2 linked regions of the Mus musculus genome follow. Each later gene encodes a partner of the first gene's protein in a complex. Links are inferred from orthologs where the notes say so. Each region holds a gene or a part of one and is shown on either strand. Other genes may lie near its edges.

Region 1 (16,081 bases):
GGTTCAATTTCATCTTTATCTCCATTCAAAGTGGCTTCTGTGCGGCACTGACAAAATATCCTTAAGACCCACAGGAAAACTTAAGGACCCCAGGGAGTCAAGCTGAAAACTAGAGAACAAATGGAAAGACTTCCATTCCTCACTTCAAAACTGCAAGGTAAAGGAACCGGACGACCACGTGACAACAGGTCAGCAGTAGAACCGTCCAGAAAGAAACCAAAACATTGACAGCAAATTTACTTTTTATAAAAATTCTAAACTAACGCAGCTGGAGAGGTACGACAATGTTTATGAGTGCTTGCTGGTTTTCCAGAGAATCTGAGTTTGGTTCCCACCACCACCATCAAGCGTCTAATGAATTCCAGTTGCCGAGGACCCGGAACCCTCTTCTGCCCTCCATGTGCACACGCATGGCACATACTCACACGGACACAGAAATAAAATCTAAAAGAAAAAATATCTAAGCCAAGTGACTAGGGAAATGTTTTTAATAGATGCACTTGAATACTGGACACCCCCTTGCAAAAAATGATTTTGGATTTCATGCTTCGCATAGCATACAAAAATAATTCAAAGTGAAATCAAAGACATAATTGTAAAGTGCTAAAACTACATACAAGTGAAGGGACTCTAGCCAGCCTAAGCTTGGCAAACATAACCCCAGCAGTCCTTGCCTTTCTCCCTCTGACTTGCTAAAAAGCAAGCAAGCAAAAAACCCTGCTAAATTACAGTCCTAAACTAGCCACCAGGGCCTATCTTACCTTTGGCCACTTCCTCTTCCAAAGACAGACTACCAAGGCCCAGCTATCAAAGTCTTGCAATCAAAGGCCCCTTTGGTTCACCTAATTAACCTGCCTAATTAAAATCAAACACCTCAACCTAACATGGGATTTGCCTGTTATAAATCACCAATGCCCTCTCCTCTCTATCCAGAGGCAGTCCCTCAGGCCAAATATTCCTTCCTGCCTCTCCCCTCTTCCTTTTCTCTTCTGCCTTGTCCTCTACTTCCTGTCATTTTTTTCTTATCCCCCTGCCCTTTGTCCCTGTGGGGTAAATAAATATTTGTGCTGAGATATTGGTCTTGGGGTGCCCTGAGCCACCACCATTTCTAACAAGAAGTAGGGAAAAAAAAAAAAAACATTGTAAATCTTTGATCTTGGAATGGTAATAATTTTGAGAAATTACAAGCACAAGCCAAAACAAAAACCTAAAGCAGATAAAACAGTTAATACACACACACACACACACACACACAGGTTTATTCTGGAAAAGACACCACCAAAAATACCAACTCACAGAAATTTAAATCCATGTATTGAAAAGACTTGACTTCAATGATGGAAAGAGCACAACTCCAAACTAAAAAGAAAATGAGCCAACTGAAAATGGGAAAAGATCTGAAAATAGCCTCCTCAGAAGATATAGAAATGTCCAACATGTAAATGAAACATAACAACAGCTTTAGCTACTGAGGAAATGCAAAGCAAAATCTCAATGAAATATACTTTATAGATCACATGGCTACAGTCAAAACTATATTTTACACCTTTTATTATGTTATTAGTGGTCTACAAGCACATATGCCTGTGCACCAGGCATGTGCCTGATGCCCATAGAGACCCTAGGAGGGTTTTGTTGCATCACTTGGGACTGGAGTTCTAGAGGGCTGTGAACTGCCGTGGGTGGGGCTGGGAACTGAACTTAAGCCCTCTAATAGAGCAGTTAGTACTTGTAACTGCTAAGCCATGTCTCCAGACTCCTCAAGAACACATAATAACAAGTGTAGAGGTAATGAGAATTTGGAACACTTGTGTCTAATAGAAATGGTAAAAGGTGCAGATATTTTTGTAAACAATCTGGTGGCTCCTCAAAGGGAGTTACTTACCATTTGTGTCCAGGTTTATCCCTAAGCACAAATGTAGAGAAATGAAAACAGCCATATGCAAAAGTTCTGCACACAAATATTCCTAGCAGTAGTATACATAATAGACAAAGGTGGAAGCAACTCACACGTCATCAACTGACAGGGAAGGACATGAGTTCGATCCAGAAAGTACAAAGTTATTGGGTAACAAAAACAAATTAAGTGTTAATAAGTGCTATACTGTGGATGAAAATATCAAAGACATGTTTGAAAGATGCTGTTCAGGAAAGACAAATCTACAGATGCAACACTGGGAGTGGTAGTTAAAGAGTAGAAAGATATATATTCACATATTCTACATCCACATATACGTGTATTTATATTTTATTTACAAGACAGAGCTTACATGTTGCTTTCGTCAGCCTGGAACTCTCTATGTAGATCAGGCTGGCATTACGTTCATTCCTGCCTTAGTCTTCTGGTGCTGGGATGACAGGTGTAAGCTATCATGGCAGGCCTCAAAGTACCTTCATGAGATGATGAAAATACTCTAAAGTTGTGGTGATGATTGCATGATCCTGAATATCCTTAGTAAGCTATTAAGTTAGATACCTTAAATGTGAGAATATGCTATGAGTTAAGCTGTTTTTTTTAAAAAAAATACTATATAATTGTACGTAAGGATGCTTGGACAACATCTACCAATTAATTACCTGTCAGCTCATTTGTGAAACTGGTCCCCTTCATATCCTTCCTAGTTTCTGTCTCTAAAAGGCCCCAGCCTTACAAAGCCTACTTGCTTAGACCATGCCAAATCTGACTCCATTTAATGTCATTTGTCTCTATAGCAACCAACTAGAAAAAGCTGCTTTGTTTAGCAATGACTTTGTACAAGCAGTGGTCTAGCCTAGAGATGTTTTAAAGATCTGAGTTCTGTATTCATCACTTCGCTCCCCACCTCCTACTAACAGGTAAAGAGGAAAACCTCTGATGAATGGGAGAGGCAAAGAAATGTAAAAACGAAAGAAGACATGTTGCAAGGAAGACTGAGCTAAAGAGGTTAGAAGGACCTGCTTTCAAAGGAGGAGGAACGCTTAAGAAATCAGAACTAGGAAACACAGAATAATTTTTAGACATTTCCATGAATGTACTGGTTAAAACACTTCAATAACAATAAGACATTTCAACATTCACATAACTATGCTGGGTCAGCAAGCAGAATTGTAGTGATCTGACGGGCATTTCTCAGTAGTTCAGCTACACATAGGTATTAGATATATAGCTGGCATCTTTAACAAAATTTTAATGGACTGGTAGATTGGAATGGACATCAAAACTGTAAAGCATTCATTAATGCTATGGAGCACACGATGAGGAAAATGTACACTGTAACACATGGAAGCCTTAGGGAATCTAAAGGTCTGGCCAGTGGGCTCACTGGGCAAAGGGCTGGCCAGGCAAGCCTGACCACCTAAAAGTGGTCTCCAGGACCCAGGCTGGACAGGGAGAGGAGCCCTTTCTGGTTGTCCTCTTACACGTGCTGAATTTTATGTATACACACACACTTAAAAAATATAATTACCTTTAAGTGAAACTCATGAAAAGACAGGGGATGGGCTTTTTAATTTGGCATCAGTTCTAAAATATCTAAGGATTCAGGGTAGGATGAGCGGCTCTATCCTTCCCCCACTTTCAGGGCTGTCTGTCTGTCTGAAAGGCCTCCATGGGGAGATTCTGGCTTTGCTCTGGCTGGATCAAGCCCCATCTCTGGCACCGCCTTGGCCATCCACGTTCACAGTTTTGTTCTTTAGGGATTCATTAATGAAGTCATTAACACAGTGCTGGCTGGCCTATGCTTATCCCCCAAGGAAATTTTATGTCTCTAGTTTTCTATACATAAGGAATACTTTATATGTTACCTGCTATGGTGAAGACAGAGTTGTAACTATGACAACAGTGAATGTAACCAGTTCCTAAGTAGCAGCCCTCAGTTGCTATGCTGGGTGGTAATGCCTTACCCTTCTAACCATTCTAGTGTATTGTGTTGCTATTTAAACGTTCTTTACAAAGAGTAAAGACAATTTCTTTTGCTCATTTTAATGTCGCTGGTTAAAATGGAGCTTAAATCCTTCTCTTTCAGTTGTACTTTTGATCATATAAGCTACCTTTGCTACTGGGCCACAAGCTCTTTATACACTTTATCTATTTTATCTTTATGTTAGCACTCAGCACAGAGATTTAACATAATAGATGCTTTCTGTATATATGCAACAAATTAAAATCACTAAGATTTCAGTTAGAAATATCTGGAAAAATCACTCCAGCAAATCTGCACATTTGACAGTTTTATAGGGAAAATAATGTTTAAAACAAGTCACCAAGTTTTGATGTTCTGTTAGTGTAAAAAAGGGGGGGACTTTATGCTAATAAAGATCACAGTTCAGTGTGCCTGGCTTGGGATGTAACTTGCCTACCTAATATGTGAGAACCTGGATTCAATTCTTAACACTGCAAAACAAAAACAAACAGAAAACAGCAAAAGCAACACCAGCAAACAGAAAAGCAACACTTTTGCCCAGTTTTGTTTCTAAAGACGGGAGTAATAATACAAATGACCTTCCTAGACAACACAGTGACTGTGTAAAATAATATGAGAAAAGTGCAACAGGAGCAAGCTTAGGGGTCTGGGAATGGCTCAGAGGGAGAAGGCCCCCCCCCTCTCTCTCTCTCTCTCTCTCTCTCTCAGCCAGCCTGGGTTCCACCCCCAGCACCCACAAACAGGAGGAAGAAGGCCTACTACACCAGAGCATCCTCTGACCTCCATTCCATGCTGTGGACTTTGTAAAAGTTACTCCACTGTTTCTATGTTACCTTTTGTGGCAGGCAGGACTGAGACTCCATTTCACTCCCAGCTCCCGGGAAATTTTCCCCAGCCCATTTAAATTCTACTGAATTTAACTTGTGTTTTCATTGGTCTCTGTGAAACCTCAATTTAAGTAAATGTTTCAGTCCTAGAAGCCCACTGCAGAGGATTTTCGGATCCATGGAAACACACTGCTTGTCTACTCCAATAACAACCAACATAGATGACTGTCAGCAGATTCTTGCACTGGAGAATGGCTGTGCATAGCATCCCCCATCCTCACAGCATCCTCCCCACTGCATCTCATGGCTCATAAGGCACGTGATAACTCAGGAATATGAGGATAAAACATGCTTAAATACTCAACAACTTTAATTTGCTATGAGAGAAAAAACATACTTTGTGTGTTTTCTAGAGCTAACAAAATATCATTGACAAGTTTAAATAGAAATTTATTCCCTCACCATACTGGACCCTAGACCTTACAGGGCTGCTAGCTTTGCCTTGTTTCCTCAGAGCCAGTCCCTTGGCTTGTGAATGGCCTTCTTGTCCTTTCCTTGAGATGATAAAGCTTCAATATATGAATTTGATGTGAACACAATTTAGCCTGTAACAACAGCCCTTGGCAGTTCATTCATGGTTTTCATTTTTAAAAATCTAACAAATCAAATTCAGGTAGTACCCAAAGTAGAAAGTAGTGATTTGAGGTCTCTGATCCTTCTGTGGAGCCTCTCCGTTTTGACCCATTAGTTATAGTATGGTTTTCTGCTGGGGAGTCACCTAGACATTGTTCTGACTGAGTCAGCGTGGTATACATCATCGTTCCTAAAGCTGTCAGTTTACTTAGAAACATGGTACAGTGCTTCTAAGGGGTTTTTGGGGAGGAAGGGGTAGGTTTCCAAAAATATTGTTCATGGTGAAAAAATTATTGGACCAAGTTTTTTCTTAAAATTTTTTGATGAGCAGTAATAACATAGAGGGGCAAGATGAGAGTGCTGGAGATAGCGCTTGGAAAATGGGAAGATCCCTCCTCCAAATACTGTTATATACGGCACTTAAAAAAAAAAAACAAGAGACAAAAAACAAACAAACAAGCAATCCCTGATACATACATGCTTGTGTGTGTGTGTGTGTGTGTATGTACATCCACTAGAAATGAGTCTTCTATAGTTTATAACACACTTCTGGTCTAACAGCAAGAAGCATGTAAAAAGCACATAAGAGCACATTGATAAGTCAGTTGGAATCTCCAGGGTGCCTGCCATAACTGCATATTACAACCTCACTGCTTCCTTTATCTTGGCTAACATCATGTAAAACTAGGGTTAATAAGAGCTACGTGTATTATTTACCAGCCATGGTCATCTTGCCTACTACCACAGTGTGACTTTTACTCTGATGCACAAAAACAATGGTGACTGAACTGATGGACACCGATTGCCCAGCGTACTGACAATAAAAGTGGCTCTCTCCCCACTTTAATCTCCTTAAACATGGAAGGCCCTGCTTCATGATAACTAAAGGTCTTCGGACAAGGACAGATCATCCACAGCAATCCAGTTGAGTCTCAACCTGTCCAAGGAAGATTAATTAAATTCTGCACACTAGCAGAAACTTCACTTGCAGATTAATACTAAGACATAATTTTCACTCCGGATTTTATTGAATAGTTTAGTAGTTTCATTTATAAGGAAAAAGAAAAGAACCCAATGGTTTATGAGTAACACCTCCACAGTAAAAAGAATCAGTTCACATTCACAAAGGTGTTAGGTTTCCGTTTCCTGTTTCCTAGTCTACCCACAGTGGCTAAGTACCATAAACAAGCAACTTTTCCTCCAGTCAGCCTTGAAATGGTCTCACAGGCGTCACAGGCATGGAAGGTCTCCTCAGAATTGGTGTGCTGCACTTTTTCACTTATGAATGTTTGTTATAAATGCCTTGAAGAGCAAATGGCATGTTATCTGTGCTTTCTCCTTTCTCATATTCCACCAAAAATACATTTGTTGTCCTTTGGCCTTCAGACACTTCCATTTTCTCGACTTTTGACTTCTTTCTCTGTGCCCCCCCAACAACAGAAGCCTCGCTGTAACTGATCACGTTTTCCCCCTTTTATTTCTTTTTTTTTGTTTTGTTTTACATCTTTTCAGTTATTAAATGGGAAGAAATCCAACATGCAGCTGAAGATCGCATATTTTTTTTCTAGCCTGCGTGTGTGTGTGTAAAATCACCCCGCCCTCATTTTGTATCTATTTCACCGCACTGTCGTGGCCAAGAACTTGAATTCCAAAATGGCTTGCTCCTTTCGAGCTGACATGGGCTATAAAAATGCAATTTATTCCCACTGCAACCAGCCCTTCTCCCTATTCTCTACCATTACGATTGCGAGAAGCACAGACAGCTAGTTGGGCCTGACAAGGGCTGCAAAGCACACCTTATCTGCTAAATCCAGCAGAGCCAGCAAAGCCGCCGGCACTGGTGGGGGAAGCGTTAAAGGCTGGAAGAAAACCCGAAAAACCCCAAGGCCCATGCTGCGCACACACACGGGGCCGCCTCGCGCCCTCCTGCTTCCACCGCCGGCCCCGCCCACCCCACGGGTCCCGCCCCCTCCGTCCCGCCGCGGCCACGCCCGACGTGTGGCGCGGCCCCGCCGGGCGGGGGCGGGGCCTGCGTCGCCCCTCCCCCGCCGCCGGCGGCCTCCGCGCGGGCCTCCCAGCCCCTATTCCACTCACTTTGTTCTGCGCCTTTGTCCTGGTCCGCACCAGCAGGTGGAGCCGCAGTGAAAGTTTCCCGTCCGTTCTGCGAGCGGGAGCCCATCTTGCTCGCCGCCGCGGCCCTCGCTGGAGGAGGAGGGTCAGAGCTCGGGGGCAGCCAATCGCGGGCAACGCTGCTAGTTATCAGGGCAGAATGGGCTGTAGTTTAGTGAAATAGGAAAGCTGCAAAACACCGTGGAGTGCCGCCGTGTAAATAAAAAGGAAAAAAAAGTTTCTCAAGTCGCAGCTGCACGACGTCGGGCCGCGCCGCGCCGGGGCGGGGGTCTGCGCTCTCGGAGCGGCCGCGCGCGGGACTCGGTGGTGCCGCCAGCCCCGGCCCCATTGTTTGTGTTTTCTTCAAAATATGGCAAAGGTTCAGGTGAACAATGTAGTGGTGCTGGATAACCCGTCGCCTTTCTACAACCCGTTCCAGTTCGAGATCACCTTCGAGTGCATCGAGGACCTGTCTGAAGGTGAGCGAGTGGCGCCGGGCTGTCAGTTGCGGCGGCGGACGTTAAAGTTTCCCGGCCCGGCCTCGCGCGGGGTGGGCCGCGGCCGGCGGCCGGCGGGAGGGCGGCCATGCGAGGGAAACTTGAAGTTGAGGGACGCCGGCCGCGCCGCAACTTGCGAGCAACTTGCCGGGCGGAGGGAGCCATGTTGTCAGCTTTGTCTGCGGCGGGCGGCGCTCGGCGGCCCCCGGCTCGCGCGGCGCTGGCGGGGGGTCGTGCGGCCTCGGCGGCCCCAGGGCCCCACGGCCCGGTGGGGAGCAAGCTGGGCCGGTGGGAAGCGGAGCCATCTTACCCGGCGGCACGACGCCTGCTCCGGACCGCCGGGGGCGAGCGGGCCCGCGCCTTCCCGCCCGAGCCCCGCCGAGGCTGTCCTCGCGCCGCTCTCCGGCTCCCTCCACCAACCAGCGCGGAAGGCGGGCGCTGGGCTCGGCCCCTCGGCGCCTGGCTCCCGGGGGGCGGCCGTGCTCTCCGCGGGCGCCCGGGATGCTGTGCGCCGCCTCTCCCCGGGGACAGAGACCTCTCGGAGAGAAATGGTGAGGGGCTGGGAAGTTCCATGGCACCCTAGAGCAGAAGCAGGGTGCTTAACCAATTCCAGGCACTTCTCTGGCGTTTAGAAAGTCTGAAAGACTTTCTCCAGAACGTGTGAAGAAGAAGCAATTAAAATAACTCCACGTCCAAGCAGATGGAGAAAATGCAAACGTTAGCTGGGAGATAGAAGGCAAAATCCTTTCTGAAGTACATTTTACGGTTTAAAAAATGCGAAATAGTGAGGTAATACAGAACTTAGAAAGCTAAAATATGGCTTCTTAACGCTTTTCTTAGATTTTATTAAAATCAATGCTTCATTTTCAACATTTGAAACAAAAAGTTTAACTTCATTGGTGTTAAATTTTAGTTAACTAGGAGGACATCTTGGGACTTGAAAGTATTTCGACAAAATGCCTTGTATTATCCTAATCATGACGAAAAGAATTTCTCTTTTAATTTAAAAGTTTATAATCTCTTCAATGTACTTCATGTAGAATGTTAACTTTAATTATAAAAACCATTGCAATAAACCTTTAAAAATTGTAAAAAGGAAGTCACAGCCCCTTCTCTTCACTCCTTTGGCTAACCATCACTTAAAACGTACCCTGCTGTTTTTAATACGTATGTAAATTATAACGTGCATACATTTAGTGAGTGGGACATATTTTGAAGATTGACTAAACATTAAAATATAGTAGTCTCTGAATAGACTGTGATGATTAATGTAAGTGTAAGGGTGTTTTCCATTTGAAATGTAACAGCATTTCCACATCAGACCTATTTCCAACCCCAACACTGATTTTAATTTTCTTTTTCAAACTGCCAATTTATATACAAATGATCAAATATAAAGTAAGATCATGGCTGAGTCCATCCTAACTCAGTGCAGTGTTCGAGGCATTAGAAGTTCTTTACACTACAGGTGTTTCTCATATGATGGCTTCCATTTTAGGTCCACATTGTATGAGGAAGATAGGCTCTAGGATATTGTTACAGAGTCATTACACTGGATAGTTCGAAACCAGCCACCCACAGAAACCAAACAGGGTTCCATGTTAAACAGGGATCCTTTCACAACAGTGTTATTACTCAAGTCAAGAATATGCCTTCCTCTAGTACAATTCAAAACCAGCGCACCATTATTTTAAGGTATTTTAAGCTGAGTCATTCCAAAGCTGCAGAGGAACCCTTGACAAAGGTGCCATTCCTGTCTACTCCATCTAGAGGCTCTGTGGAGCAAGGAGATGGGCGTTGATTTACCCTGCAGAAGCTCGTTTCTAGGGCCCATACTTTTGTTGTACTGTGACTTGTTAAGTTACTGATCAACGTAGAAATTCCTCTACAGGTAATTTTGAGTTTATGATTTGTGTCTACCTCCAACGTACCAATTAGCCTCCTTATTGTCAGGAATCCACTTGGTAGAAGGAGAGAACTGACTCCAACCAGTTGTCCTCTGACCTCCACATCAGTACCCATATATACAGAAACACACTTAAACATTTTTAAAGAGACTTTAAGTAGGGGCTTTATTATGCTTGATCACTAAGCCTATACGTTTAATTGGCCCTCCTTCAGTTTCTAAGGCTTAATACTTGCAGTGCATCAAAATTGACCCTGTGGCTTTATACTTTGAAAGTTCAGGCCTGTTCTGATTGCAAAGACTGTATATTTTCTACTAGACCACAGATTTTCCCAACAATGTAATTAACTTAAAATTTCCTTGGTAGTATCCCTTCCACCACATATGGAGATATTTTCTGGCTGGGATTACCATGAGTAAATGGAAAAGTTAACTTTTAAAATAAATGGATAATTTTCAGATTGAAACTCTTGTAGAGCCACAGCCCTTCACCATAACTCATAGAATACAGAGGCATAGAAAAGAGAAACCGGCTTCTAAACACATTGATAAATAAGCATGGCATCGCACTCAGACTCAACCTGTGCCCGTCCCTTGTTCTTAGTAAGGCTGGATTAACCCACTCTCCATTACCTGTCCTTATCCACTCTCTTCTATACTCTTGAAACCTATTACTTGAAAGCTAGAAAGAGCAAGGCTTAAAAGCCATGATTTTTGAGTAGCAGCAACCCATCTTTAACTGAATTTTAGATTACTTACCTTCGCCCAGTCTCAGCTTTCTTGTTTTTATTAGTGTGCACACACAAACACAAAATATATATGTGCTTGAATAATTCTAACTGTATGATAAAATGTTTACTTTAGATAAGTCAGTAGCTTTCATATACCCTCTCCTTAGCTGTGTCTTCATTTGGCTTTTGGGTCACTTCCTTCATTGGGTGCTAGCTTTCTAAACGACTTTAATGATTCATCCTCTTCCTGGCTTGCCTTCCAACTTTAGTGTTGAGGAAGGCTCATTTCACTCCTTGGTTCCATTCCTATCCTTGTCATTATGGTTTATTGCCAAAGTTCAATTTTTAAAAATTTGACCTTTTTGTGTTTATAATTAAACACCTAATAGGCATCTTAGACACGTATAAAACTAACTCCTGATTATTTTGTTCTTTACACAGACCCTCTCCCCCCAAAGTGGCTACTGCTGCTTCTATTTCCAAACTTTATCTAGGATGTGAATGCTTTACACCAGCCCTATGGCCACCATAACTCACTCACACCATCATGCTTTCTGTACTGAATAGTTGAAACAATCTCTTGTTCTCCTGCCCTCATACAGCTTACACAAGCACAGTAAGTAAAATTATCCTTAAAGATAAAAGGAGGATTCCTGTACTTCTCTGCTCAAAACCTTCAGGGCAGTGTTTCTCAACTTGTGGGTTATGACTCCCAGAAGACTACACATCTGAAAAACACAGATGTTTATGTTACAGTTCATTTGCTACATAACAATAGCAAAATTGTAGTTATGAAGTAGAAACAAAATAACTCTATGGTTGGATAGTCACCACACCTTGAGGAACTTTTACAGGGTCACAGCTGGGGCTGTAGCTTGGTGATTAAAGTGGGTGCCTAGAATGTGTGAAAGTTCTGGGTTTGATGCCCAGCACAACAACAAAATGGTGCTGCTGAGTGTTAAGCCAGAATCCTTAATGGTGGTCATCAGGCCTGGTATGATGTGAGTGTGTTGCTCCCCACCCCAGCCTCAGGATTGGGTAGCTTCTCTCTGTTCCAAAATCCCAGCTTCTTGGCTTATTCTTGAACACACCAAGCAGGTTTTTTACATTTGTGGCTGTTTTTGCTGGTCTTTCTAGTCAGAAAATATTATAGTTTCTTCCTAGATCCAACAGCAAATAAGTGACCTGATGAGATCCCAGGTGTAGAACCCTGAATCTGAAATGTACTGAAAGCTGAAAATACAAATAGCCTTAGTCTATGATGGAGCCAGGACATAATAGTAACTACTGGCTTTTAAAACATTACAAATAAACAGGGAAGTTGCAATTTAACAAGTTTGATTTTACACGTATAGTATAAGGAGTGCCGGTACTCTTACAGATCTAGGAGATACCTACACAGCTACACAGGAAGGATTTGTGCACGTTCTCCAGAGTGAACTAGAGATTCAGCCCCTTGGGAGTGCTTAGTATAGTCTTTCTATAACGAAGCTAAGCATAGATCACACTATAGGAGATTGTCTGTCATCGTCTTCCTATGTTTAAAGAGCAGATTCCTACATTCCTTCAAAGAGCAATGGTTTTAATCTTCTCAGTTCTCCATAGAGTTTTCTAAAAGGGTACTTAATGAAATCTAGGTTGAATTACAAGGCAAGTCTTAGGTTGTGCTTGAGTGTATCATGTCCTTGCCTGTTTGCTATGTAAGTACTCTGCTATAAGAAGAGGTATAGGAGCTTGGTTTCCTCTAGTTTTAAGAATGTATGGCAGAAAGGAATACCAGGCAGGAAGAGCACCACTGTGTCTGGTTGGGATCCAGTTGGCATGGTGTTTAATACAGTGGTAAGTACACAGTTAGTCTGTTAGTTAGTAAGAGTGGTCAGGTAACAGATTGACACATTTATGTCAGGAGATGAGCTGAAACTTCTGAACCACAAGGAAGGTTTGCTAATGATTTTTCCACTTTAGATTCTGGGATGATTTCTGTTTCATAGAGCAGCTTTTTTACAGGGGTGAAGTTAAAAATGGAGCTCAAAAAGAGGCTGGGGGATTGCATAGTCCGTGAGCCTGGGCGATGGGATTATCGCTCCCAGTGTTCTTTCCTAAAGGAGGTCTCTGAGAACTTCGCTTTATGAGTACCTATAGCAAACATTTAATGTTTCCCCAATTTTTGTTCATGTTTTACTTGTGAGGAACACTCCAGGGACCAGTGCTTTATGAAACATTTGGAGAAGTTATTGGGATGAAATATGAATTCTGGTGAGAAATATATAAGTAATATTTCTATATCTCTCTGGTAAGAAGCCATTTAGCAGTTAAGTGGTCAACAAAAGGGACTTTATTATGTTAATATATAATTGCTGCTATGAAATAATGATTTTCGTTCTTTTACCCTAGACTTGGAGTGGAAAATAATCTATGTGGGCTCTGCAGAAAGTGAAGAATACGATCAAGTTTTAGACTCTGTTTTAGTGGGTCCCGTTCCTGCAGGAAGGCATATGTTTGTGTTTCAGGTAAGATTAATCTTCAGATAAATATGACAAGGATGTTTCTAATAGACTAAACTACCTCAGAGCCCTACCCTTTCTGTGTTAACTAATTGCTTTATCTATTCTCACTTTTAGTCTGCTGTCATTTCAGGCAGTGTCTATCATAAAGGATTTATATTTACGATTATATGCAGGGATATTGAGTTTACTTTCAGGAACTAGACAGACTACAAGTATACTGTGCATACAAGGTTGGGTTTGTCCTATGGACTGTCTCTCAAGATGAAAGCATCCCCAAACATGTATTCAAATGCTGGTCAGTAACATGCATGCATCTGCTGATATGATAGCAACAACCTCACTTTAGTATAGTAACTGCAACATTAGCAGATAGAGACATGTGACTTGAGCCATTGGAATGACGGTCTAATACTTCATCAAAGCTTCTTATCTAGGTTTTTATAGAGGACCACTGTGACAAATCCATTACCCTGTTAGAACTTGTGAGTTGAAATACTCATAGTATAAATTATGTTCTCAGATACCTCTGACAGTGTTTAGGTCTGTGCCCAAGCTTTAGACATTATCTTCTGTCAAAGAGTGTTATTTCTCCTGCTTTATTAAGTTGCTATATAAAACTAGTGACTTTTTTCAATTATCCATGCTTCTTAAGGGAGATATTTATAATACTGCAGGGAGTAATGAGCTAGCTTTTAAAGAACCATTAATCTTTGTTAGAGGTATTTCTGCTTAACCAAATCTCACTGCAGGCATAATCCAGGAGAAAAATCTACTTCTTCCTGTGCTTGGCCTCTCTTACTCCCTTCACACCCAGGACAATTTCAATGCATAGTTTCTTTGAAATAATCCCATTAGAATGGGTGAAGATTTGCTTAAGAGAACATTGTTAGAGATGCTGCCTTTTAAATACAGAACTGAATCTGGGCCTGAGTGTTTTCTAGCAGGAAACCCCAAATTATTTAGTATATATAAACAAATGGCTAAGAAAGGCTCAGCTATAGTAATTTAAAGGCTTCAATACTTTAATTAAAAGTGCCATCAAACTGAGTTGTGTGTGTGCGTAACCTTGTGAAAGCCGTAGCAACACAGACTGCCTAAGGAAGTCCCGCAGTCTCAGGCAGCCTGATGCCTCTGCTCACTAAGATCCAGGACCCCACTAATGACCTACCGCATATGAGTATTATGAGGAATAAGGCAATCAGCAAATTACTGACAAAACTAGCTATATCTATAATTAATTAAACTATTAATTTATTCTCATTATGTAAAGAGCCAGGATTCCCTTGCACCCAAAATCCTGGGGACTACATACTGCACTGGTAATTCATGATGTAGTAAAAGAAGGTCAGCTTAATGTGTAGCCATATATAGACACTTTGTATTGCTGTAAAATGTTGTACATCATGGTTTTAAAGTGAGCCTTTTTGACTTGCAATGCTGTGAGGTAAATATCATAGAAGTATGCAGCTTTTTGTTGCTATCAGTGTAAATGTTACCAAAAAGAACAGAGAAAGCACTGTGATTTAGGTCATGTGTTAGACTGTGAAGTTTTCAAAGTCTGACAGTTACTAACAAAATGAAACTAAGGCAGTTTTTGTTTTGTGTTATGAGCAAAGTGTCTTATTTTTCTGGTCTGCCATTTTGCGTAGTATAATCAAATATGACTGACTGCCTTAGGAATGGGTCTAAGACTAGCAGAGATGTCCAGACACCTGCCCAGTACTGATTGGATTGGGTCAACAAAAGTAATCCCCATCACTTTTCCAGCCTTAATAACCTGAGAGCTATGCACGTTTCTTCACCCAAATTTGCTCAATTAAATCCTTTGGCAAACAACATTTTTAACATAGATGAACTTCCTACTAGTTCACTGGGTGGTAGCAACTGAACTCCTCCATCCTCACCCATTTCTGGGTATATGAGTGTCCCTGAAAGTCACCCTGCGATGTTGATTTGTAGGACATACTGTATATACTACAGCAGGGTCTATGTCCCCACACTTGGTCCACAGGGATCATATACCCTCATCAGGACAGGAAGTGAGTAATGAGAAATTTCTAAAATAATAAATTCTTATAGCTGCATTTAGATTAAGACATAGATTAGGAAATTTGTGTCAAATGACAAACACATAAAAAGGGAAACTGCTACCTTGTGAATCAGAAAGGACTTTGTTTGGAAAGTCGGTTTGATGAAGATGTCAAGACATTGAAGCACAGAGACTTGAAAGATTTCCAGCTCATCTTACAGAACTTATGCTTCACACACACACACACACACACACACACACGAGAATTACAAAGCTGTAACGAGCCTAAGGAACTAAAAAGCATCTAAGGTTTAAAACCTGCCAAAGGGCTAGAAATGGATGATGTTTAGATGGCAGCGATATAAACAGCAGGCTGGAAACCGAGAGGAGTAAGAAATGGAAGTTAGCAGCGTTCTGCTTAACAGATGAAGGAACACCCAACCTTTAGACATGAGATGTTGAGAGTGACAAGGGAAGAGAATAAGAAAAGCTGAAGGTGACTGATAGTCTTGGTTGATTTTTATGGCTTTTAGTGTCAGCTATGTGCTATATATACAATAAACATGTCTTAAAAGTTTCCAAGCTAAAAGCATTTACTGAAGTGTTCATATGCAAAGGATATGATGCTAGAATTTATTTTGTTTGCTATGCAGAGTTATGCTTCAGGTTGTACTTGCATGCCTCAGTCATCACTGTCTGTCTGTCTGTCTCAGAAGTCTTGCTGATGAGGACTGTGGACACAACCCTAGCCTTTTCTGGCATTTTTAATGTCTTCTAGTTTTGTTGTTTCACTTTCTTAATTCCTTTAGGTTCATTATGATTTAAACCATGGTCCTTGGTGTAATCTACTGAAACAGTCTTTTGACTGCACTGAATATCCACAATGTATATGGCTCAAATACAATAGGATTTTCATTTTTTTTTCAAACTTTGCTGTAGA
Region 2 (15,851 bases), on another chromosome or scaffold:
CATGTTACATTTCTTTCAGGTTAAAAATAAAAATTGGCAGTCTTAAGCCAGCTCTTCACTCAGGAGTATGATCTAGAGAATCAAGCTTTCGGTTTGGTTTGGGTTTTCAGTTCTTTGAGGTTTTTATTGATGGCATATTTCATATTTCAGTCACAAATCATCCAAATAAGGTAAAGAACATGACTGTAGCCATAATAGAAGTAGGGTGTGACAGAAATTATCTTTTGGGAGACAAGTACCTCCTGGCTTCTATCTACACAGGTTACTAACTCAGGCCTGTCCTGTGCTTATTTCAGTGGAGCAAAGAATGAACACTTAGTTCCTAATTTTAGGTAATGTTGCCCCCAAATTATACTACTGACCCGTAGGCTTTGTGAATTGCTTGAAATATTAAAATCATACCTCGTAATCTTGCACATCCTAAAGATATCTTGACTTTAATGGATAGTGAAAACAGGAGGGAATTGTATCCTATCTGATTCAGCATTAAGATAGAGATCTTAAAACATCTAGGCAAGCTGGGCGTGGTGGCGCACGCCTTTAATCCCAGCACTCTAGAGGCAGAGGCAGGTGGATTTCTGAGTTAGAGGCCAGCCTGGTCTACAAAGTGAGTTCCAGGACAGCCAGGGTTATACAGAGAAACCCTGGCTACAAAAACAAAAACACAAACAAACAAAACACCAAAAAACAAAAAAAATCTAGGCTCTTCTCTCCAGCTCTGCACACAGGCTGGCCTTGCAAACAGGAGCACAGCCACTTTTAGTTCTTTAGTTGCATGCTTTGCAATGAATATCTTTGGTAAAAGTTGCAACAAGTTAATCAAGGCCTAAAAAAAAAAGTAACAAACGGTCAAAGAGTCCTTGACGTCATTATCCACTGCACATTATTTGCTCCAGCCCACTGAAGCACTGTATGCTGATGCGGTGTTTCATTTTACTCCTGGACACTGCGGGAACTTGAGGGGCTGCAGCAAGTACCAGACTCCCTCTCAGTCACAGAGTCTTAGGCTTCTGTTTCTGTGATTGCATCCATTGTACAAAAGCAAAGGTGTACATTGCTGCATGTTTTATAAACCTAGACTGCATAGCTAGCTAAGTAATGAGATTTTCTACACCCAATAATAACCTTGACAAACAGGTGCCTTTTCCTCAAGGGCAGAAAATTTTACATTTCTAATCTAACATTAGGAATTGGTGATAGGAGAAACAGGATCCACAATTTAGTGGCTTTAGGAAAAAGATGCATCTTGAAAATGTTATCTTAAAATATACTTATAGATAATCTAGATTTAGCCTTGGAGATCAAATTTTCTCATATTTTAAAACTTGTTAGCTAGGTGTGATGGCTAATGTTTCTAACCAATACTTGAGGGACTGAGGTGGAAAGATGGAAGAGAGTCTGAAGCCAACCTCTGCTTCATAGTGATTGCAAGTCCACCTGGGCTGTAGTGTGGGATCCTCTCCCAAAAAACAAAAACAAAAACATTATTTTTTTAATTATTTTTTTAAGTTTTCATACATGTATGTATATATTATATGTTGAGTACACAGCTCTCATTTGTGTATAATTACTTCTGTCATGTTCATGGTTTGCATTCACTGTTTTACATTGTGCCTATTTATGGCTTTGGAATGTTGTTTCTGGGGGGAGGTCATCTAGCACCTCTGTCACTGACGTAATAGGACATTTGTAACCAACACCTCTGTCACTGAGGTAATAGGACATTTGTAACCAACTGTACTGCTTAAATTTCTTGAATTTGGTTCTATAGACAACATATTTGCAGAATAGCTTTTTATGTTTTAATCCAAATGCATTATAAGATTACAGCATGTGACGACTCTGATGGTCCTTACATGCCAACAACACTTAGAGTCCCAACTCAGAAGCCACAGTGATGCATATTAGACCTTAACTCATAGAAGAAAACTAGAGGCAGTTCCACAACCCAGTCAGTGGGAGGTGTCTGGTAAACATGCCCCACTTCCTATCCTCACCAAAACTTTACAAAACTCGAGTGTGCACTCTGAGAATGTGTAAGTAAAGTAGAAAGTCCTCATATTATTGGGTATTTGCCTTATTTTGGCCATTTCTCCAGAAATTTTACACAATCTTGGAGCCTTAAGGATCTTGTTATGCAGCATTGCTTTCCATAACTGCAGGAAGTGGGAAATTCCTAGGTAACTCCCAAGTATGGAACAAAAAGAACCCCTATTCACTTAGAGGAAAATATGGGTAAAATATATATGTTTTCAGGTAAGTTCTTCCTCTTGGGAGAGGATTTGCATCAGAAAATTAGTGACAAATTCATCTCTTGGTTTCACAATATCTCAAGATGCTAAATAGCAAAGATTTACTGAGTCATGATTTCAGTATTTGCTCCTATATAAGTACTAATAAACATGACAGCTAAGGCAAGTTCAAGGTGATGAGATGATTTCCTATACTGGGCTCAATCCTTGGTTTTAAGGAGCCCTTAACAAAAGTCCTTTCATTGCCCTTAAAATGTAACAAGTTTCTGCCTTCTCTAATTGGAGGTGATAGTATCTACACTGTAGGCTCAAGGTGATGCTGACCACATCTCCTGGTACCTTCAACTAGAATTTCTAGACCAACAACAGTATGAATGACGCAGATCTCTGAGACTAATAGAATTACAGAATTTGCTAATAACGTTATTTTACATTAACAGTGGGATTTATCTCTTGATAATTTAAAATTATTTTGTACTGTATACATGATTATTCACCTAAACCAAGTTTTTATGTAGACTATTCTTGCCATATGATACTTTTTAAAACTCCCATAAAACATAATTGAAAACATCAAAAATTCACTTGTATCAAAGTTGGAATGTGCCAGGTGTTTTTTGCTCACTTACAGTAGTAAACAAGGCTATACAGAGTTTGGGCTGTGATTTATTATTTTAGGGAGTTTGCTGAGAAGAAACCTTAAGACTTTATTCAAAACAGTTTGGTTTGGTTTGATTTTTTGAGATGGGGGTTTTTTCAGTGTAGCCCTGAGCTGGAACTTGCTCTGTAGATTAGGCTGGCCTTAAACTCCAGACCTACCTACCTCTGCCTCCAGAGTGCTGAGATAAAAAGGTGTGAGCCACCATGCCTGGCTAAAAACAGTTTTATTAAACTATAAATCAATGAAATTAGTTCTCTAAGATAATTAAGAAATTAAAATATAGGAAATAGATCTTCTTTTTAAGACAAAGGAAATGTAGCACTGGGCCACTCAGGACTTTGAAATTGGATTGGATTTCCTAGATTTTGGTGGTATATGCCTATAATCTCAACATTGAAGAGGTAAGGGCAGGAACAGGAGTTGAAGGTCATACATAATGAGCTGAATAATGAGTTCGAAGCTAACTTAGGCTCTATGAGACCCTGTCTCAAAATAGGGGGGAGGGGAAAGGCAGAAACAAAATCTTAGGTAAGAGAGATTGGATTGTTGGATTGGATGAGTAGACAGATCTGATGGCCTGGGCTCGAGCCACTTTGCTGTTCCCTGATGCACAGTTCTCATTCTCCTTTGACACCTTTCCTAAATGGCATCTATTTAATCAGATCATTTATTTACAGATTCCAAGTTTTTCAGAAAAGGAGGCACATCTCATTTTGTATTAGATATAATGAGTTCATAAATTATTACTGGCAAATGTTATCAAACTTAGTCATAACCCGAATTCTCTTACTGAACAAGAGAAATAAGTCAATGTTCTGCTGTCCTCCTCTTAATGAGATGCGAAATTGCTCTTTGAAGTTCTTTTCAATGTGTTACATTGTATCCTTTCTCCTTCAAGCATCTTCCCTTTATGTGTTTTTGCTCAGGCAACCATGGGCATAGAGTATTGAAAAACATGCAGTGCTTTTGTATAGGCCATCTGTACATAAAAGTGTAATTATTTATTTAATTTTCTCATTTGTACCATATTAAAGCTTTGTACAGTGTTTTAAGTTCTGTTTTAAAATTATTTTGTATTTTATTTTTATAATCTAGTAATAAAACATTCAGTCCGCATGCAAACTTTAGTGCTATTTGTGTGATGGTTTGGATTTCAAAAAGTGAAAACTATTTCCTAAACTACTAAAGTGTTACAGAAGTGACAGACAACCAAGAGAAGGCCATTTTGGCTAACTTAGACGCTAGGTGAACACCAGGGTTCAGGGGTCTGACGTGCGTGTTCAAGCTGACTTTGATATTCTTCTGTCTCTGCCTGCCAAGCACTGGGATTGCAAGCATCCACTAAATCCAGCACAGAATTAAGTTTTCAAAACTCCCTTTTCTTCTCCTTGGCAGTATGCTAGAGGGATTCCTGCTCCATCTACTGCCTATCACCAAGTGGTCTTCCTTTGAATGAGAGGAACACAGGGCCAATACACTGCTACTTTGTTTTGGAGGAAACTATAGATCCTATATCTTGATTTTTTTTTCTTTCCTTTTACTAAGGAGTATCATCCGAAAGCCTATTATATTTTTCAAAATAAGGGACCTGACAGGAAGTGTAGCCAGAGGGTTAACCAGCCAGTGTGTGTGGAGGAGGGTCGGGGGAGTGTGTCTAGGAATGCCATACTCTTCCAGAAGCTAATCATGAATCCTGACCTCTCAAGTAAAAGAAGTTGAGATATTCCCCTGCTGTAAACTCTTTAATACAATACGTAAGGGATTCAATACAAGTCTGATGGACATTTGATGATTTTATAACATGCCTCAGCATGAACTCTGTCCTCAATTGTCAGTTGATGAAAAAGTTGGCCAATGGTAAAGAGTCAGCCTTTTGAGTAAAAGAGGGGAAGGGGTGGGGAGCTAAGTAGGCCGGGCGCACCCCTTTAATCCCAGCACTCCGGAAGCAAAGGCAAGATAATCTATGAGGTCGAAGTCAGCCTGGTCTACAGAGTGGCCAGGCTATACAGAGAAATCATGTCTCAGAAAAAACAAAAAGGTCAAAACACAAGGTTACTCACTTTATTTTGGTTGAGGAGGGAGTGACTCAAAAAGCTCTACAGTCATGGTCTAAGGCTGTGCTTATGACAGGTGTCTGGTCTCATAGGCTGGTCTCTTAGAGTTGGTCACTTTTCCTGTCTGGTCCCTCTTTCAGACCCGGGTCTCCTCAGGCAGTTCATCTTATCACATTGCTCCAGGGGCCAGGAAATCAGAGAAAGGCGCCTCGCCGCCCTGCAGGCCTGGCTGGCTGGGCAGATCTTCCCGGGCCGCCAGAGCCCCACCCCTCAAGGACCCGCCCCGTCGTCCAACGGTCGATCCCGGTCGCCGGCTCCGCCCCTCCCGGCTGCCCGTGGCGCGAGTGCGCCTGCTCAGTAGCCTCAGAGCGCCTGCACAGGGATGGCGGCCGTTTTAGAGTCGCTGCTGCGCGAAGAGGTGCCGGTCGCAGCCGCCGTGCGGTGGATCGCGCGCAGCACCCCGAGTTCGGAGGTAACAGTGCGGACACGCCCTCAAGCCTGCCTGGAATGTGCTTCCCGCGGGGGATGATGCTTCAGTCCCTTCTCCCAGCCTGCCCTGCCTGACGGCCCGCGCCAAGGGCGCTCGCTCCTCTGCGCGCCGCTGCCGGGCCGCCCACCCTGCGGCCTCAGCCGCTGACGGCCCGCGCTGTCAGCTGACGCTCTCGCCCCGCGACCTCTGCTTCTTCCTCAGGATAGCTCCGAGGTGGCCGCTCTGAGCGCACTTCGGCCTCTGCGGAAGGAATTCGTGCCGTTCCTGCTGAACTTCCTGAGGGAGCAGAGCAGCCGGGTCCTCCCGCAGGGCCCCTCAACCCCCGCCAAGACCCCAGTCGCCTCGGCAGCCTTGCCAGCGAGGCAGGGGGCCCCGGCACGGGGTGGCCGTGGGGCGCGCAGCCAGCTTTTCCCTGCAGCCGAGCCCCTCAGCGCCGCCGCCGAGGCACCTCTGGCCCGCCGTGCGGGCCGCAGGCGGGGTCCGGGACCGGGGCCGTCCCGCGAACGAGGCGGTCGGGGCTCCGGGGCCGCGGAGGAGGGGGCGAGTGGCGAGAGCCCGCCTTGGGCCGGAGGCCGGAAGCCTAAGGGCTCAGGCAGCCCTGGCAGCCCCAGACTGTCGCTCTCTGATCCGCCAAACCTCAGCAACTTGGAGGAGTTCCCTCCCGTAGGCACCGTTCCTCCGGGCTCTGCAGGGTGAGAATCGGTCCTTATTGCAAGATGTTCGCTAAAGCCGAGCTTGGTGCCCCACAGTAGAGTGCGCGATGGTTAGAAGGTTGAGGGTGAAGAAACCACAATGGGGGAGGGTTTAAAAGGGGCCCAACTGTTATGGATGGAATGATGCTTGAAGATAGAAAATTGGAAAAAAACAAAAAACTGTGACTACTCTCAGCAGAACGAAGCCTTCTCGAAGGATCAACCCAACTCCGGTGAGCGAAGAGCGGTCACTGTCCAAGCCCAAGACCTGCTTCACCTCACCCCCAATCAGCTGTGTCCCCAGTTCCCAACCCTCAACCCTGGACACTAGCCCTTGGGGCCTTGGCCTTCCCCCAGGGTGCAGAAGTCTGCAAGAGGAGCGGGAGATGCTCAGGAAGGCGCGGTATGGCTTTGCCGCCACCTGGGATGTCAACTTCCTCCTTATGCGGGACTTGCAGGGATTTTTCCTGAACTTGATTTCTCCCTTCGGGATTCTGGGTTTGCTTCTTGGGCTGTTGATGTCTTCTCTGGCAGAACCTGAATGTGAATGTCGCTGGTAAAGCCAGGCTGATTAATCATGACATCTCCTCCTGTTCACATAGCACCAAGCAACTCCAGCAGTCACCTACCCCAGCCTCTCCCATCCCAGAATCGGGGTCTCCGGTTCCCAGCAGGACAGGAAACCTCACCGCAGAGCCTGCCGACCCGGCCAGAGTGTCTTCTCGACAGCGCCTGGAGCTGGTAGCCCTTATCTACTCCTCCTGCATTGCTGGTGAGTGAGCGCAAAGGGGGCTGCGGTGGATATGCTTGCAAACTACAGAGTAAGAGAGTAGAGGAGGCGCAGAGCCTTGGCCTGCTTGTCAGTGGTACGATGGTATGGCATTTCTCTTTATAAACAGAGAACCTAGTACCAAACCTTTTCTTGGAGCTTTTCTTCGTCCTTCAGCTCCTTACTGCTCGGAGAATGGTGGCCACCAAGGACAGTGACCTGGAATCAAGTCAGGGTGCCCTAGGTCAGTAAGCAAGTCTCACTTTGAGAAATGATGTTTGCAGGTGGGACAGTTCTTAACTAACGGTTTGTTGTTGACCTAGATTCCCTGGACACTCCCCTGTTTCGTAGCATCCATGATTGCGTCTTCTTTGCAGTGCAAGTTTTGGAGCATCAGTTTCAGTGAGTTTTCTAGCTGTGACATTTGAGTCTTATATGTCTGTTTCTAGCCGTGTGGGATGTGCATGCCTTTGCTTAATAGATACAGTTGCCCTAGACCTTACCTGTAACCTTTTGTTGAGGGGGAGGAGATTGTGGTTGGTTTGGTTTTTTTGTTTTGTTTTGTTTGGTTTAGTTTTTGAGTCAGGGTGATACTATGTAGCCCTTGCTGGCCTTGAATCCCCTAAGCAGAACAAGCTGGCCTTAAACCTGCATAGATTTTCCAGCCTGTGCGTCTCAAGTTCTGGAAATGAGGGCATGCACTACAACTCCTGGCCCATCTGTATCATTTGATTTTGTATCAAGGCTGAGTTTATCCTCTAAAAAAATAAATAGCTGGGTTTGGTGCTAAGCAAGGATTGCAAGTTTAAAGACCTGCCCAGGCTGCAGAAAATTGAAGGCCAGCCTTTGAAAAATATTAAGCTGTAGTCCCAAATAATATATACAAAAGAGTCTAAGTATATAGATCACTGGAGTGCTTGCTCATAATATAGAGAGCCCTGTATGCCACAAGAAAAAAAAATAGGGACAACAAACACATGGCAGCTGACCTTAATGTTCATGGCTAATATTCTATCCTACTGTCTTGCTCTCAGCTTCATGAAGTCTCATGTCTTCCTTCACCTTTTACCTTCATCGTCTTGATTGTTAGCCATGGCCTTGCCATACATACCTAGGCTTAAACACCTGTCTAATGCCTCAGATGTACTTTCTATCTGCAGCCTGTGTGCCGGTCTCAGTCATGTGTGCCCTCTCTTTGCAGGGTTCTCTCCTACCTGGATAAAGGGACCTTAAAGCTGCTGGCTGAGAATGAGCGGCTGCTGTGCTTCTCACCTGCTCTGCAGGGCCGCCTTCGGGCTGCTTATGAAGGCAGTGTTGCCAAGGTAGTTACCCTCGCTAGGTAGCCTCACTGAGTAGCCTAGATGGTCTGCAGATTCAGACAGTTTCCATGGTGCTGTCAGGTGGGCAGACTCTGGGCAGGAATAAGGAGTAAAGTCTTGTAAACGTGATCCAACAGGTCTTGTTTCCTAATGTTGTTGCCATGTTTTAGGTCTCCCTCGTGATACCACCCTCTGCTCAGGCTGTCTCCTTCCAGCCAGAAACTGACAATCGTGCCAACTTCTCCAGTGATCGAGCCTTTCATACTTTTAAAAAACAGAGGTGAAAAGAAAAGGGCCCTGATGAGGAGGGCATAAACAATCTCTCCTTTCCTCGAATTAGCAGCTAGGCACTGAAAGGGGTGGGTGACTGCTCTTCAGACCCTTTGCTGGCAGTCATCATAAAGCCTGTTGGCTTCATTCTGTTTCATGTCCACAGACCTGAATCCCTGAGCTTAGCCGACCATCTTAGGGTCAGCTTTCCCTGTCCACAGATGCCTGTGATGTGCTGCTGCTGGGTCTGTAACATTACCATCGTGTAGAGAGCTATGGGGTTAAAGACTGGCACTGTGGGCAGGCTTATCTTAAACCTTCCAAGCAAGGGAAAGTGCTCTGGGAAGTGGATGTAAGCAACTGGGAGGCAACTGATGAAGCTTCCATATCTTCCAGGGATGTGTTCTATGAGGTACTTCGAGAGTGGGAAGATCATCACGAGGAACCCAGCTGGGATTTTGAGAAGGGCTTGGGTAGCAGGATCAGGTGGGTGCTCCGTCCTTGCTCTGACAGTAAGCAGCAACCCAGGAATATTTAGGGTGTTGGTTGGCAAGGGTTTCCCTCCTTCACCCATCTCTTCCTCCGTCTCTAGTTATTGGTAACTCGACCTACCTAGAACAAAAGGGATTTCCTTTCTAGCTTCTCAATCCCAGGGATGCCATGCACTTGTTCTGTAAAGGCAGAAGCTTGGGAAAGGACAGAGCTCATAGATGAAACAAGTATCCTGTCCTTACTCCCTTACGTTGATAATGACGTTCACTGACAATGAGCATGGCCTGAAGATCTGAGAGGGCATTTCTGGGTGGGTTAAGTCTGTCTATCTAGTCTGGAGAAATCTTGGTGGTGAAGGAAATGAATGTTTCTTACCTTCTCCTGGGTGGGCTTTCTGGCAAAGAGTTTGTTCACCTCTTTGGTAAATAGCCGGAATGCATCCCTTGTCTCCTTTCTACACTGTGTCTCTTTCTCCTCAGAGCCATGATGGGTCAACTTTCAGCAGCCTGCAGCCACAGCCACTTTGTCCGCCTTTTCCAAAAACAGCTTCTCCAGGTAAGAACTGCAGTGGTAGCCAAAAGATGTGGGCAGATAAATAAAGGTTGGCACTCTGGATCAGATAGACAACCTAGTTGATTCTGGCTACAAAATTTAAAAGAACGCCTTCTCTTTGGGAGATAGTTCAAATTTGGCGGGCATGTGTTCTCTGACTTCTCTGGCCTGCCCTGGACTCCATACCCTTCTGTAGCCTCTCACCACCATCCCTTCCTTGACTTGGCTACGGTACAAAGAGAGCTTAGTAGTCAGGGTATCCTCAAACCCTTGTTCTAGTGACCTGAGGCAAACAGTGCTTGCCTTGCAGTTTTTATCTCCTCATCTGCCAAATTAGAAGACAAACCCTCTGGAGTGCTCATTGCTTTTTTTCAGACCCAGGGTCTTGCTCATACTGGGCAGGTGTTCTCCACCAAGCTATATATCCCAAGCCTACTTTCTCAGTATTTTGTTAGTTTTTCTCTTACGGGTTTTTCATCTCTCTCCTCCCTTCGGACATCTCAGATGTGTCAGAGCCCTGGCGGTGCTGGGGGATCTGTTCTGGGTGAAGCTCCAGATGTATTGAATATGCTAGGAGCTGACAAACTAGGACGGTTGCGGCAGCTCCAAGAACGGCTGATAGCCCCTCAGAGCAGTGGAGGGCCCTGCCCACCCCCCACATTCCCAGGCTGTCAAGGCTTCTTCAGGGATTTCATCATGAGTGCCAGCAGGTAAGGAACTCCTGTATCTCACAGGGAGAGAGACAGAGGCCAAGAAAGATTTGCTCTCCCCAATGGGCAAGCCATTTTCTTTTGCCTGAGCCTCAGGTTTGGATATGTCTGGTTCCTCCCATTTAGAGTTCCTCTTTTGTCTCATTCTTTTGCCCACATAGGTAATGTCATCGTCCTTTAGCTTCATCCTTCTTAGGAATCGTTATATGGGGCATCTCCTCTAAACGCTGGTTCTTTTTTTTACCAATTTCAGTGCCTTTTTTGTTTTGTCTTTTGCTTTTTTCCACTCAAGCTTCCATTTTAATCAGCACCTCATGGATAGTTTAAGTTTAAAGATTCGGGAGCTCAATGGCCTTCGCCTGCCTCAGCACGAGCCTGGTGATGAAGATGGGGAGTCAGACATGGACTGGCAGGTCAGAAAACAGAATGAGTGGGTAATGGGGTCTGATGTAGGAGGGAAAGGATGTGTGTGTTCCAGAAGACTTATGCAAAGAACATTGTTTCCCTTGATTCCTCATGCAGGGTGAACGGAGGCAATTTGCTGTAGTGCTTCTTAGTCTTAGACTTTTGGCTAAATTTCTGGGCTTTGTGGCTTTCCTGCCATACCGGGGACATGAACCACCCCCGACCCGTGAGCTTCAGGACTCTATTCTGGCCCTCAGGAGCCAGGTGAGCATGTGGAAGATCTGGGTAAGGAAGAGCCGTGTAGACCAGAGAAATGTGGAGGATGGCTGGTTTCCTTGGCTAGTCTAGTACCCTGGCAGGTCAGAGGGTGTTAGCCAGCCTCTTTTAAGAGCCTGCTCACTGACAGAATCCTGGCTTTCCCAGGTCCCTCCTGTTCTGGATATACGGGCTTTGCTGCAGCAGGGATTGTGGGCCCGTCGGGCAGTGCTCACTGTGCCCTGGCTGGTAGAATTCCTCTCTTTTGCTGACCACATTGTCCCCTTGCTGGACTATTACCGGAGTGTCTTTACTCTCCTGCTGCGCTTACATCGGTGAGTAGAACTTGACTTATTTGCATAGCCTTGCTATTTATAAAGTGGGCCTAGAAGTCTGTGCTTCTGTGTGGTTCCACAGCTATGGCAGCCTCAGGAGAGGCAGAATTGTGACAATTGTCTTTCATTCCCATGATCCATCCTCCCATTTATCTTATGGTCTAGTCAAGAAGAATATAAAGTGCAAGTCTCACTAGGATCCTGTTGGTCTTCTCAACAGTAGTGTGATTTAGGTCTGCTTTTGAGAACTCCCTTCCTAGTAATAGCTTTTATTTACTGCCTTCTGTCCTTGGTAGACAAAGTCTGCTCACGGCCTCCGTTTACCTTTTAGGAGTTTGGTCTTATCAAAGGAGAATGAAGGAGAGATGTGCTTCCTGAATAAGCTGCTGCTGCTTGCTGTCCTGGGCTGGCTTTTCCAGGTAGGAGGATGGATGGCTGCCATGGCAGACTACAGAGCTTTAGAGTCTGAGAACAGAAGAGGGAGGTTCTGAGAGGGATGGGTATTGCTATGGCTTCAGAAGAAACTTGCTTGACCCGGGACCCTAACAGATTTAGAAACCATGGCAAATCTTAGAGTGCCAGTAGTGTTCTCACTACCTTCCTCTCTTACCAGATACCTACAGTTCCTGAGGACTTATTCTTTCTAGAAGATGGTCAGGTAGATGCCTTTGAGGTGACTACAACTGCTTCAGAGCATGGTTTGGTGAGTGTCACACCAGATAAATGAGCTGAATAGATAAGGACCCAGCAAGAGACCAGCTAGGGAAGACTTAAGACGGTCCATCTTCTAGACTTCTATTTCTGCACATTCGGGAGGGAAGGGAGACTGCCTGCCTTCCCCATCCAGCATTGGTCTGTTCTCCCCCAGGACAGTGTACCTGTTGTGGACCAGCAGCTGTTATATACCTGTTGCCCCTACATTGGTAAGCATCTCTTTCTCCCCTTATGGCCCATGGCCTGGTCCATGGCCTGGCCTGTCATGGATACCCAAAAGGACCTCACTCCTCAGCATACTGTTCTGTCTTTAGGCTCTCTGGTTACTTCATCGTCTTTGCCCCACAAAGGCCATGATGTTTGGGGGAGGAAGGGGAGATAATTTTGGAATTAAGAACTTCAACTCCTCTACAGGAGAGCTCCGGAAACTGCTTGCTTCCTGGGTTTCAGGAAGCAGTGGGCGGAGTGGAGGCTTTGTGAGGAAAATCACTCCCACTACCACCAGCAGCCTGGGAGCCCTGCCTCTCCAGACCAGCCAGGGGCTGCAGGTGAGGGCAAAGGACCAGGAAACAGGGGGGCAGCTCGGGAGGGAGGCAGAAGGAAGCCCTCATGGTACGACTACACCTGCCTCCACCTCCTGCCAGGCTCAACTTGCTGAGGCCTTTTTCCACAACCAGCCACCCTCCCTGCGCAGGACTGTAGAATTTGTGGCAGAAAGAATTGGATCAAACTGTGTCAAACACATCAAGTAAGAGTGGAGTAAGAACCCTAGTCTCAGCCCCCTTCATTTTTTTCCCTTTAAACTTTAACCTGTTGCCAAACTAAGCAAAGTCACCTAGAGGGAGTGGGTGGGGGGCAGGGAGGCTGAAATTTCTTCTATCCTTTGAAGGACATTCTGACCAAATGTCCTTCCATTTGCAGCCCTTTCCTCGTAACTCTCCTAACCACCCCAAACCTTGTTCTCCCTGCTACAGGGCGACACTGGTAGCAGATTTGGTGCATCAAGCAGAGTCACTTCTTCAGGAGCAGCTGGTGGCACGGGGACAGGAAGGGGGAGATCCAGCACAGCTTTTGGAATCCTTGTGTTCTCAACTCTGCCCCCATGGGGCCCAAGCATTGACCCAGGGGCGGGAGTAAGAACTGTTAATCTATTTGAGCCTTCTCATTTCCTGAAGTCTCCTCTTGGTTTTGTCAATTTTTTGTTAAGACTGGGTCCCACTCTGTAGTCTATGCTGACCTCAAATCTCCAAGTGCTGAGGTGACAGGCATGAGCCAGCACACACAGCTTCCTTTTGATTTATTTTTCCTATCTTTTTTTTTTTTTTTTGCCTCTTTCACATTCCATTTGCTCCGTTTCTGTTCCTTCCTCCCCTGTTTTGCCCTATTCCCCCTTTCTGAAGGATTATGTCTTTGGGCATGGAGTCTAGATATGGAATTGGAAGTCTGTAATGTAAGGCTAATGGGTGGGTTTCTCCTTCCTACAGCATATGTGCTGGGGCAGGAGAATGGACAGTCCTTCCTTCTGAGTTAGAGTTTCCATTCATAGGCCTGCTGCACTTGAGAATTTACTTTTGTGAGTCAGTCTACACTATCCGGACATTGACCCTCCTCCTCTCCTTTCTTAGGTTCTGCCAAAGGAAGAGCCCCACCGCTGTGCGAGCACTGTTACCAGAGGAGACCCCAGCTGCTGTACGTAGGAAGGAAGCCTGCAGCTAGCAGGCCAGTAGGCAGGCAGGCATGTACACATATGTGTACACATGCACCTGTGTGAGGCTGTTGTAGGGTGGGTTCTGGACTGTAGAATCCAATGCTGTACTACCTGCCTTCCCAAGTCCCTGACTCAGCAGTCCTTGTGTGCCACAGGTTCTAAGCAGTGCAGAGAACATTGCTGTGGGGCTTGCGACAGAGAAAGCCTGCTCTTGGTTGTCAGCCAACATCACAGGTGAGGTCTAGGAAAGGAGTGACTGAACCAAGTTTTTAAAGGTGGACAGGCAGGGTATTGAACAGTTTGTGGGAGATTAGGTGAGCTGTTTAAAACCAGTGAAAGGTGTGGGTTGTCATGACTAGCCCTTGCAGGGAGACATTCCAGTGACTCCAATCTTGTTTTCCCTCTGCCTGGCAGCGCTGATTAGAAGGGAAGTGAAAGCAGCCGTGAGTCGCATGCTACGAGCCCAGGGTCCTGAGCCAACTGCCCGGGTGGAGCGGAGGGGCTGCTCCCGAGCCTGTGAGCACCATGCTCCCCTCCCCTCCCACCTCATCTCCGAGATAAAAGTACACAGCTACCCTACTCCCTTGGCTTTCCCACTCCCTCTCCCTGCTGCTTGCTTCTTTTCACATTGGCTTCAGGATTTGTATAGAAGCTTTGTGTGTTGTCTGGCTGGTTTGTTTCTTTCCTTACTGAATGGGATCATACAGAACAGAGCTGAACTGAATGGTTTCCTAAGTACTTTGTTCTAGAATCATCCAGAAAGTTATATCTAAAGGGTTGGGGGGTTTTGTTTGTTTGTTTATTTTGAGGCAGGGTCCCATTATATAGGTCTGGCTGGCCTAGAACTATGTATACCAGGCTGACCTCAGATTCACAGAGATCCACCAGCCTTTGCCTCCCAAGAACTAGGTAAAGGTATATGTTACCACAATAGGCCAGAGATAAAGTTTTTGACTAAATGCATCTTATACACATGGTAGTGACTAAATAGCTGCATAGTGGGAAAGTTTTTGACGGGCAGTCAGTGTCTGGACATGATTTCTGTACTATTTGTCCATGTCATGAGCACAGACCATAAGTTCTAATGTGATTAAAAATAAATAAAAGCTGGGCCTCGATTGGGTGCTGGCCTGGATTCCCAGTTATTCTGGAGGCTGAGGCAGGAGGATCACAGGCCAGTCTGAGCAACTTAAACCAGACTTTCTTAAAATAATTTATAAAAGTAGATAGTGTGAACTCTACATATTAGCACTTGGTATCTAGAGAGAGAAAGAGACTAATTTTATAGAACAGGAGTCAGCAAACAGCCATGTTCCAAAATGAGGCTGCTGTTTGTTTTTATACATGAAGTTTTTTTTTTTTAATTTTTTTTAAAGTTTTATTTATTTATTATATGTAAGTACACTGTAGCTGTTTTCAGACACACCAGAAGAGGGAGTCAGATCTCATTACGGATGGTTGTGAGCCACCATGTGGTTGCTGGGATTTGAACTCAGGACCTTTGGAAGAGCAGTCGGGTGCTCTTACCTGTTGAGCCATCTCACCAGCCCCTATACATGAAGTTTTATTGATCCATTTATTTATAATCATCTGTGGCTGTTTTTGTGCTACCAAAGCAGGGATGAATAGTTGGAGCAATATTTAGGCCTTGTGACTCCCAAGAGCTAAAATAGTATCTGGCCCTGCTCCAAACAAAGTAGTGGTCTTATAATAAAGAAATAGAGACTAGAAAACAATGCCCATAGGTGGGGACTATAGGAAGGAGGGAAAAAGGTATCAAGCTAGACTGCTTCTCAATATGCAGAGGATTTCTAGTTTGAGGTCTCAGAGGAGCATCAAAGAGGAGTATTCAGACTCTAGATAGGACATTTTCCCTTAGTATTTTAAGACACCATCTGGGAATTGGTTATGTAGTTTTATCTCAGTGAGTTTCATCTTTTGAGCTCTGTGGCAGCACACAGTCTACAGCCTTACCACTACATCTACTTCCCTCTGGATTGTCCATATAATTGCTTATCTTAGCTGTGCTGTTACTGCCTGAGCCTCAGCCATAAGAACACCTTGACCCAGTTGCTTCACCCCCTTGGGCTCTGTTTTCCTTCTGCCTCTCTCCATTGGCTGGTTCCCATCCCAAACCAAGTTTCTGGCATTCTGGCATGAAGTTTCATCACTG

What was found.
Region 2: the proteins of Asf1a (region 1) and Cdan1 are in contact, whole or in part, in a cryo-EM structure (PDB 9CVC), measured with the Homo sapiens proteins. The link is inferred for Mus musculus from reciprocal best matches to the Homo sapiens genes ASF1A and CDAN1. Residues at the interface, in NP_054753.1 of Homo sapiens: Gln5, Val6, Asn7, Asn8, Val9, Val10, Val11, Leu12, Asp13, Pro15, Asn20, Pro21, Phe28, Asp37, Val45, Ser47, Ala48, Glu49, Ser50, Glu51, Glu52, Asp54, Asp58, Ser59, Val60, Leu61, Val62, Gly63, Pro64, Val65; in NP_612486.2 of Homo sapiens: Arg195, Arg196, Ile197, Asn198, Thr200, Val202, Lys390, Leu391, His470, Glu471, Glu472, Pro473, Gly474, Trp475, Asp476, Lys538, Arg541, Arg544, Leu545, Gln546, Arg548, Leu549, Met550, Ala551, Pro552, Gln553, Ser554, Ser555, Arg806, Lys807.

Annotation. Positions count from the first base shown.
Region 1 is NC_000076.6:53,589,349-53,605,429, forward strand, and holds the start of Asf1a (histone chaperone ASF1A), read left to right. Parts: upstream 1-7,612; 5' UTR 7,613-7,841; coding exon 7,842-7,950; exon of another isoform or gene 7,951-11,325; coding exon of another isoform or gene 11,326-11,333; intron 11,334-12,999; coding exon 13,000-13,115; intron 13,116-16,081. UniProt on the Homo sapiens protein: Histone chaperone that facilitates histone deposition and histone exchange and removal during nucleosome assembly and disassembly.
Region 2 is NC_000068.7:120,721,000-120,736,850, reverse strand, and holds the start of Cdan1 (codanin-1), read left to right. Parts: upstream 1-5,333; 5' UTR 5,334-5,349; coding exon 5,350-5,439; intron 5,440-5,658; coding exon 5,659-6,149; intron 6,150-6,345; coding exon 6,346-6,552; intron 6,553-6,751; coding exon 6,752-6,921; intron 6,922-7,048; coding exon 7,049-7,162; intron 7,163-7,241; coding exon 7,242-7,320; intron 7,321-7,817; exon of another isoform or gene 7,818-8,119; coding exon 8,120-8,240; exon of another isoform or gene 8,241-8,407; coding exon 8,408-8,517; exon of another isoform or gene 8,518-8,903; coding exon 8,904-8,993; exon of another isoform or gene 8,994-9,119; intron 9,120-9,374; exon of another isoform or gene 9,375-9,478; coding exon 9,479-9,554; exon of another isoform or gene 9,555-9,561; intron 9,562-10,055; coding exon 10,056-10,261; intron 10,262-10,553; coding exon 10,554-10,674; intron 10,675-10,783; coding exon 10,784-10,930; intron 10,931-11,089; coding exon 11,090-11,256; intron 11,257-11,587; coding exon 11,588-11,675; intron 11,676-11,869; coding exon 11,870-11,959; intron 11,960-12,124; coding exon 12,125-12,179; intron 12,180-12,384; and 13 more. UniProt on the Homo sapiens protein: May act as a negative regulator of ASF1 in chromatin assembly.